3 linked regions of the Sus scrofa genome follow. The protein of the gene in region 1 interacts with the protein of each later gene in a pairwise test. Links are inferred from orthologs where the notes say so. Each region holds a gene or a part of one and is shown on either strand. Other genes may lie near its edges.

Region 1 (3,760 bases):
AAAATCTGCCCTTGAGTGTCACGTCCTAGCTGAATAAGTAAGTGCCTGTGCAGTGTTAGGTGGTAGGACGTGATGGGGAGAAAGATGAAGCAGGGCGGGGGCGGGTGGGGGAGGTAGACAGAGCCCGGAGGTCCCGAAGAGCCTCCCTGCTGGGTGGGGGAGATGGGGGTGGAAGATGCCTTTTGAGTGAAAGTTTCAATGGGGAGGGAGAAGCGTTGAGGCTGAGGGCACAGCCACGGCAGTGGCCCTGAGGTGGGAGTGCCTGTTGTGTTCAGGAAATATCTGAGCAGGGAGACCAAAGTCGGTTGTTGAGAGGGGAAGCATAGGACAGGCGACTGCAGGGGTGGTGAGAGGGGCTAGATCCAGCAGGGCCTGTGGGTCATGCTGAGGGCTTGGCATTTACTCCAGCGAAATGGGAGGCACTGGAGAATGTTGAGCAGCAGAGTGACGTCTAACTTTCATTTGGAGGATGGATTAGAGGGGCCCAGTGGGCAGGGAGCCCAGCTGAGAAGTGATGCGGGGAGAGCTGGTGGGAGTCTGGGCCAGCGCAGGGCCTGCCCGGCACACAGCAGCCCCATCTTAAGCACCATTTTCTGAGGCTCACTGTGTGGAGGGCACGTACGGGGCCCTTATATCCATTACCTCATTCAGTTCCCCCGACTGCGTGGGAGTCTCCACAGAGGAAACCAGCTCTCGGGTCAGGCCGCCGGCCCAGTTCCCCAGCAGGTTTTCCTGGCCGTGGCAGGGAGCTTGTGGATGGAAACAGCTTCAGGCAGAGAAGTAACAGAAACTGAGGCCTGCACTCGGCTCCTTGTGGAAAGTGCTCTTTGCCCTGCCAAGGGCCCATTTCAAGGAGCAAAGTGTGGGTCCCAGCCGCGAGCGCAGTCCCGGGCAGACTGAAGGAGCCTGGAGAGTCCTAGCCATGTCTGGGTGAAGATCACCCAACCGTCACACCTGGCCCGGGGCTGGGGTCAGAAGAGGAAACCCCAGTTCATGTTTCACTGCCAGAGAGAAGCACCCTGAGAGGAAAAGGCCTGAAAGTCCCCAAAGGGTTGGGACCAGGAGGGAAGAAGCCAGGAGAGAGCAGGTCACGCCGATCCCTTCCGGAGCTCTAGGGGCCCCGCACCCGGCTCTTACCTGCAGCCCAGGTGCTGCTGCTTGTCCTCCTCCAACCACTGCCAACGGAGTCTGTTCCTCTCCCTGGAAGGCGGTGGCCCTTGTTCCAGCTGGGTTCCTGCTCCCCGGTCAGCTGACTCATCCAGGACTGGGATGGGCCCAGGTGCGGCGTGGTGGCTGGGGCAACCTGCCTTAGGTCACCAGGTCCAGAGGAGGGCTGTGGCCTTAGTCTGGATGTGGAGGTGGGGATGGAAGCTCACACAGCTCCTCTTGAGAGGGGTGTGAACCAAGACTTCCTGGCTCGAGGTAACCGAACTTGGCTCAGACACGTAGTCCTGCTGAACATCAGGACAGATTGATGGGTCTTGAAAAGTGGCCGTACCTTGTGACCTACCATTTCCTTTTCTAGGAATTTGTCACAAGAAAATAAAACAAGTAGCCAGTGAGGTCTCGGGGGCCCATCACTGTGTTTCTTATAACAGGGAAATCTAGAAATCCCCAAATGTCCATTGCCAGGGTCTGGTTAAATAAGGCAGCCTCTGTGGAAGGTCATAAAGCTATCAGCGTTGTTGATAAGGAAGGAACCAGGAGGAAGTGTTCCGGCAAGATATGGAAAAGTCAATATTGTGATAATCAGCTTGTCTTTTGTTTTCATTTTTCCAAAAGTGAATAGATACTGCAAACTGTCTGGGAGGACAAAACTGAAAAGGCTGGAAATCCAGATGGTGGGGTGGGGTGGGGGTTGTTAGTTTGTACTTTTGTGTCTGTTTCAGGGTGGTGGGGTTTGGTTTTGTTAATCTTTACTTTGAACGTTCATGATTTTTGTAAGGAGGGGCCGCCAAATTAAGGTTAATTGTTTTTAGGAGTTCCCGTCGTGGCTCAGTGGTTAACAAATCCGACTAGGAACCATGAGGTTTCAGGTTCGATCCCTGGCCTTGCTCAGTGGGTTAAGGATCCAGCGTTGCCATGAGCTGTGGTGTGGGTCGCAAACGCAGCTTGGATCCCGAGTTGCTGTGGCTGTGGTGTAGGCGGGCAGCTACAGCTCTGATTCGATCCCTAGCCTGGGAACCTCCCTATGCCTCAGGTGCGGCCCGAGAAAAAGGCAAAAAGACAAAAAGAAAAAAGAAAAAAAAAAGATTAATTGTTTTTAGGAGGAATTTAGATGGGTTGTCTCCGGGAAGAAGTAAGGGGCTGAATGCTGTGGTGGGAGGGGCTTTTTTTCATAACATACTTTGGGGTGCCTTTTAAATTTTGAAAAAATTTAATGTATTTAACTATCCCCCAAAATCAATCAAACAGAAAAGGGGGAGGAATGTAGTTGCAGTCCCTGTGGGTTGGGTTGTACAGAGGTGCCTGGGGAGGGACTGGCCCTGGTGCTGGGCAGTCCCCTGAGGAATGACGCAGGGCAGCCGCCCAGGGCGGGGTGAGTGTTGGGGCTGCTCAGCAGGCCGGGTGGCCCATGTCACAGTCCCCGTGACGAGCCTGGGCAGAGACGCACCGGCCTTGGGCGCATGTTCAGCCCCAGAGAGGAGGCCCTGCCGGACTCAGAGGCTTCCAGCCGAGAGCCACACATGGGAGGGAGTCGGAGGGGGAACAAGAGCAGGAAAGGCAGTTACCAGCCAAGGAGCCCTCCCTGCCTGCAGAGCGCGGTGCTGTACAGTCACAGGCTTGGTGGCTCCCGCCATCCCGCAAGTAGGCAAGAGGCAAGGTCCCTTCTCTGAAGTCACACAGCTGCACATGGCTCCAAGGTCCTGTTTTCCGTCTGTGAGAAAAAGGCACCTAAAGCTGAGGCAAGGACACACCCGAGGCTGAGCCATCTGGGCCCGAAGCGCCGGGGAACCATGGGTGTGGACCCTCCTTAGGTGGGGTTCTCAAGGGCAAAGTAGAAAATAGAGACTGAACCAAGTGACACCCCACCCTCCACACACCTCAGTTCACCCAGTCGAGGTCTCAAGGGGCTTTTGGAGAAGATGGAGGAACCAGAAGGGTGAGGAACTTGCTTGTGGTCACCCAGCACGTCCGCATAGACTTGGGACTAGAACCCACGTCCTCTCACCCCCACCGAAATGCAGGGGCTCATTCCATTCCCTGGTGCTACAGCTGCCTCCACCTCTGACTTCTCCCCAGCCAGCCACCCAGAAGTCCTTTTTCTTGGCACGCCCTTGCTCAGAGTCTTCAGTGACATCCTGCTGAAGGGTCAGGGAGGGAGGGTCAGGGTCAGGACTAAGTTCGGGGGCCTGACAGTGAGCACTCCATGGTCCAGCCCCCTTATGACCATTTCGATTTTGTTCCCCCAACACGTCTACCCCAGCCAAGCCACATCCGCTCCACTCCCACCTCACACCATACCTTTGCCTGTGCTGCTGCTTCTGGGATGCCCTCCCCCTGCCCCCACTCGGCCTAGCCAGATCCACTGAGCGCCTCTTCCAGGAAGCCTCCTGATCCCCCACCCTACCCACGTGGCCAGATAAGACCGTCCTGTGGCTCTTTGATAGGAATCATCTTGTATTGTTCCCATGTCCTTAGGCTCCCAGTTAGACCCTAAGTTCCTTGAGGGTAGGGCCTTGTTAGTAGATCTACAGTGGCTGTTTTCACAATAAAAACTGGAATCTGTGCTCTGACCAGGATATGATTCTGCATTGTT
Region 2 (1,888 bases), on another chromosome or scaffold:
AACAAATCAAAATAGAACCTGGGTTATGGAATCAGAAAGAGACTTACCTATTGGTTTCACCACTGACCAACTGTTTGACTTTGGGCAAATTATTTACAATGTTCAAAGCCTATTCTCATACCTATGCAGTACTTCTTATTTAAGATGCAAAAGTTATCTTAATGAAAATCCAGTAGAACGACAGGCATGATATGATACAGAAAACCATTTAGAAACATTTTTAAAGGATAGAGGGGGAAAAGTATTGCTTACTTTTTTCTTGTAATGCCTGCAATTTATTCAGTTCTTCATTCTCTTCATCACTCTCTTCACTGCTTGTGCTGCTAACATCCAAAACTATGTCCCTTTTTGGGTCTACTCGGAGAAAATTGCGGCATTCAAAAGTCAGGTGACCAGCTATATAAAACAAACAAACAAAAAAGGTGAATGACAAAATTACTGGTACATATTTTCTGTTGTGTCACATCATAGTAAGCAACAAGTTACAATTTTAATAATAAATGTTTAGTTTTAACTTTTATTCAGTAAGTGGCTTTTTTCTTTTTTTCTTTTCTTTATAATAGGTTAATTCAATAAGCATTTTTTTGGAGGAGAGCTACTTCTTATGGATTTCAGTATATTGAATTATGGTATTTTCCCTTTCAATACACTAAAGAAAATACTCTCAATTCAGGATTTTATTTTATTATTTTTAAATTTTTATTTATTTATTTTAGTGCTTAATTTTAATTAAAATTGATCATCTAGATAAAGAACAGGACTAGAATAGTGTTTACAATCAACTTCTGAAAAATCACATATATATATATAAAGGAAATAAAAGAGGCCAGCAGAAGTGGGAAAAAGGTGCAGCTTGTATTATTGCACTTGGATGAAATACGCTGTTCAGGCTAGCATAATACTTTGTCCACAGGACGCTGGGAAGAGGAGCTAAACAGGGGACAAACCCCAGGGTAGTATTTATTCTGGATTCTCCAGTTTGCTCAAAAATATTTGGTATTTTTGAAACGTTAAGCTAGAGCTCTTTACAAAAAGGACTGTGTCTTCACATGTTTTAGTTACAGCCAGGCCCTGCATTCCAAATCTTATGCAAGTTTAACGGACAGCTCTACCTCACGTAATGAAACATCTGTGATGTCAAAACCACCCAGTGCCACAGGCCATGGAAAGTGGGGAAGGGAATGAATTTCTACTTTACACAATTTTATACAGTAATACCATGGCTACAGCTTACCCTTCTCAAGCGCTCTTCATTTTGGTCATTTATATCAGGAGATGAGGAAAAAGTGACAGTGAGCTGAGTACACATGGACACTAAAAGCAATTCCTAGGCTACCGGTAGAAAATAAAATTTGAAAAAGTCCCCTGTCACATTCACAAAGGTGGCATATGCGTATGGGTAAGAAAAAGGCTGTAAACTTATAGGAAAGATAAACTCTGGCTTCTAACAAATTACAAAATTCATTTTGCCTTTACCCTTGAGTGTTTTAAAGAAAAATGTAAACCAAGTGGCCTAGTTACCAAAAAAACACACTTATCCTCCTAAGCCGAGGAATGACCTCAGAGTTTGGCCTGTGCTAGTTTTATTTTCAAGTTTTCTCTGAGTTTGTCCATGAACTCAAATGTATCCAAGTAGTCAGAATGTTGCACGTTGGGTAAACCTTTAACACAAGCAGCCAAGTCCTTGGTCATGAAGCCAGCCTCAACAGTCTCAATACAGACTTCTTTCAAAGCCTTTGCAAAGATGCTGAGCTCTTTATTGTTATCAGAATTAGCTCTGTGGGCTAGCCCTCTGGTCCAGGCAAAACTGGAAGCAATGGCATTGGTGGACATCTCCTGTCCTTTCTGGTACATATGGTAGTGACGTGTTACAGTCTCGTGGGCAGCC
Region 3 (3,479 bases), on another chromosome or scaffold:
TAACTGCTAGGCCACCAGGGAACTCCCCAAAATGCTGATTCTTGATAGTATAAAATTTAACATATATATGAAATCATTAAAGTACTATAAAAATATAAAGCATTAACAAAATATGTCCATCATTTAAAAAAATAATAATTTGTAGAACAATATTTATAGCATAATTTCATTGATTTAAATCATACCTTCCATAGTATATATTTTAATGAAAATTATAGAATGAGAGGATATGCACCCATTAAGTTTTATTCAGCATTATATCATTATCCTCTACCACACGTGCCTGGCACGTGGCAGGCACAAAAATATATTAGTTGAATGGCTAAATAAACTCATGCATTATTGTTGGGATTTTAAATTGTGATCATTTTTTCTGGAGAGAAGCTTGGCAATATGTGTCAAAGAGTAAAATGAGAATACAACTCATTCTAGCACTTCCATTTCTAGGAATTCATCAGATGACTAGTTTTTACAAGTTCATATAGCAGGTATCCAGGGTTAACTTTTTTAACAACAGGAAAATGTACGTTAGTGGAAAGATGGTGCAGGGAGTAACTGCCCTACAAGAGGAATCTGGTTAAGTAAATTAAGGCAAATATTTCCATGAAATATGCATCTATTTTAAAATAAAATATTGATCGGTTTCTATGAAAGTATAGCCACAATTAACTGATAAATGCACAGGTTACAAAACATAAGTTCACAAGATGAAACAGTATATATAAATAGGCAGGCATGTACATGTACAAAGAAAATTCCAGAAGGAAATGCATCAAAATGCTAACAATAGTTATCATTTGATTAAAATTGTGTATTTCTATTATTATTTTAATTTTCTATATTGTATTTTCCCTTACAATGCTTACATACTTTGACAATCAGGAATAAACAATAAAACTAAATTCATTTACAAAATAGAAAATAAAAGTGTTTCTTAATTTATAAATACATGACTAAATGACTAAGCACAAATCCTATAATAAAGAAGCAACATAAAGATTAATCTTACTTTAATATTTTTCCTCATTTGAAATGAATAATTCATCAGATGTTATGTTTTAATTTGCTACTTGCTTTCTATGAGCAGGTTTAGAAAGTGAATGTCATTAATTAGGTTATTTTCCTCATTAATATTCTAAATCACCTCTGTGGATTTTTCTGCTTACATAGAACTATCTTCCAATTAAGTCTTTAAAAGACTCTGTCGTGAATTTTTATTCAAATATATATAGGTAATTCTTGTCATTCATAAAAATGGGCTAAATATGTTCCTTACCTTTTAATGAAAAGTAAACACGGGTCTTTTTGGTTGTACCAAGGGAGTTGTTCTGTGGCAGAAAAGAATCCTGCAAATAAAAATAACAGCTGTTTTTAAACTTCATTTTGCAAGTTTATTCACATATTACTGGATTTGTAAATCATACTTTAGTATGGCTAGCATTTTACAATTTTAGAAGGAAACTGGTGGCAGATGACATTGTAAAGTATACCCTGACAGAGGATGCAGTTTCATCAGCACAGACTCCCCCTCCCATCCTGCTATTCCTGGAATGGAAAAGTGCTGCATGAAAGTATAGAACAAAGCGTCTGCTTTTAAAAAATACTACCTAACATTTGAATGCCCTCTTATTTTATCTACAAGGTTGTTACAAGCATTGAGAAGGACTACGTGGCAAATCAGCAGCAAGGTTGGGGTTTATTACACGCCAAATTAAAAGGAGAAATATAGTAAAAAATGGTGTAACTGACTCACGGCAACATGGGTTCGCAAACCTTGTAGATGGATATAAACCAGGCTTGCCAAACACCACAGACAGCACTTATTAAAACTGTTACGTGGAAGGCAATATGCCTGCTTTCTAGCCCCTCCCCGCTTTGCCAATAAACGACTCCCTCTTTTCCCCCCAGTGTAAAAATACATGCTCATAGAACATCTAGATAGAAGAAAGAGAATTAAAAAATCATCCACAAGCACACTACCCAAAGATGTCATTTGGAGTATTTTCATCCAATTTTTAAAAAACAGATTTTTGTCACGAGGCCCCTGACAAACCAAACGGGAATTAATGAAGGGCAGATGGGAGAAGGATACTCCTCTTCCCTTGTTAGAAACCATGACTAGTATTTTTACCTCATAGCTAAGCTTTTTTTTTTTTTTGAATTATAAAACTATAAGGATAAAATTTTGAGGGGGAAAAACGTCTTCCTGGGGTATGAGCCTTAGCTACCTAGGAGCGTCTGGGAAGGTGGGCGGAGTCTGGAGGGGGCGGTGCTTTTGGCTACTCATTGGCCTGAGGGTTTGTCGATCAAGCATGCCTAGCAAATGAGGTGAGAGCTAAAGGGCACACTGGGAACGAAATTAACGGGAGGTCTGACGGCTAGGGGAGGGGGGGGTTCAATATCTTAGTAGTGAAGAGATCTCGGGGTCTCGCACTGCGCCATTCGGCTGAGGCACGCCTCGGTCCGCAGCAGCTGCAGCCGGGAGAGCCCTTACCTCTGCCGCTCTTGCTCAGGCCTCCAGTGTCGCTGCCGCCTCCGCGGCTTCAGCCCAGCCCCACCCCGCCCTGCACTCCTGCTGCCTTCGCCGCTGCCCCGACCTCCACCGCTGCCACCCAAGCATCCGTGAGTCATTTTCGGCCCATCTCTGTGCGCGCGGTAGTCACCACGCTAAGCGGTTTGCAGGCTTGCAGAATGGCAGAAGCGGATCCTAACAGGGTCTCGGGAGCTGCGGCCCAGGGGGTGGATGAAGAGATGGTGGCTAGCTCGTCTAGCGATTCTGGGGAAGAATCTGACAGCAGCAGCAGCAGCAGCAGCTCTAGCAGCAGCACTAGTTGCAGCAGCAGCAGTAGCAGCAGCAGCAGCAATAGCCGCAGCCGTTTCTATAGAAAGAAGAGGGTACCTGGGCCTTCCAGAAGGGCGCGGCGGGCTCCGTCGGGTAGAAGTTTCGTGGATCAGCTGCCTCGGGCAGTTAGAAATCGTGTGCAGGCGCTCAGAAATATTCAAGATGAATGTGACAAGGTAGACGCCCTGTTCTTAAAGGCAATTCACGAGCTCGAAAGAAAATATGCCGAACTCAATAGGCCTCTGTATGATCGGCGATTCCAAATCATCAATGCAGAATATGAGCCCACGGAGGAAGAATGTGAATGGAATTCGGAGGATGAGGTGTTTAGCAGTGATGAGGAAGTGCAGGAAGAGGGCCCTAGTGAAATGCCTGCCTTAGAGGGTGAGGAAGAAGAGGACCCAAAACCAAAACCTGAGGTCAAGGCTGAAGAAAATGCAGCCCCTAAAGAAAATCCCGAGGCAAAGGCTGAAGAAAGAGCAGAGTCTAAAGATGCTCTGGAGGCCAAGCCTGAAGTAAAGGAAGATCCAAAAGAAGCCCCCCAAGCAAAGGCAGAAGACAGAGAGCAGCCTAAAGCAACAGAGGCGACTAAGGCCAGGGTTGCTGTAAAAGAAGCTCCTAAAAGAATTCCTGAGGT

What was found.
Region 2: the proteins of SDCBP2 (region 1) and SREK1IP1 interact in binary tests that used the Homo sapiens proteins (3 or more experiments, as listed by UniProt). The two-hybrid records come from large-scale screens. The link is inferred for Sus scrofa from reciprocal best matches to the Homo sapiens genes SDCBP2 and SREK1IP1.
Region 3: the proteins of SDCBP2 (region 1) and FAM133A interact in binary tests that used the Homo sapiens proteins (3 or more experiments, as listed by UniProt). The two-hybrid records come from large-scale screens. The link is inferred for Sus scrofa from reciprocal best matches to the Homo sapiens genes SDCBP2 and FAM133A.

Annotation. Positions count from the first base shown.
Region 1 is NC_010459.5:33,965,592-33,969,351, reverse strand, and holds the start of SDCBP2 (syntenin-2), read right to left. Parts: upstream 2,278-3,760; 5' UTR 1,138-2,277; intron 1-1,137.
Region 2 is NC_010458.4:43,318,685-43,320,572, forward strand, and holds part of SREK1IP1 (protein SREK1IP1), read right to left. Parts: exon of another isoform or gene 549-1,888; intron 397-548; coding exon 253-396; intron 1-252. UniProt on the Homo sapiens protein: Possible splicing regulator involved in the control of cellular survival.
Region 3 is NC_010461.5:76,148,706-76,152,184, reverse strand, and holds the start of FAM133A (protein FAM133A), read right to left. Parts: upstream 2,337-3,479; intron 2,253-2,336; exon of another isoform or gene 2,229-2,252; intron 2,223-2,228; exon of another isoform or gene 2,132-2,222; intron 2,112-2,131; exon of another isoform or gene 1,981-2,111; intron 1,947-1,980; exon of another isoform or gene 1,754-1,946; intron 1,347-1,753; 5' UTR 1,277-1,346; intron 1-1,276. Other genes in the region: NAP1L3 (nucleosome assembly protein 1-like 3), read left to right, coding at 2,692-3,479.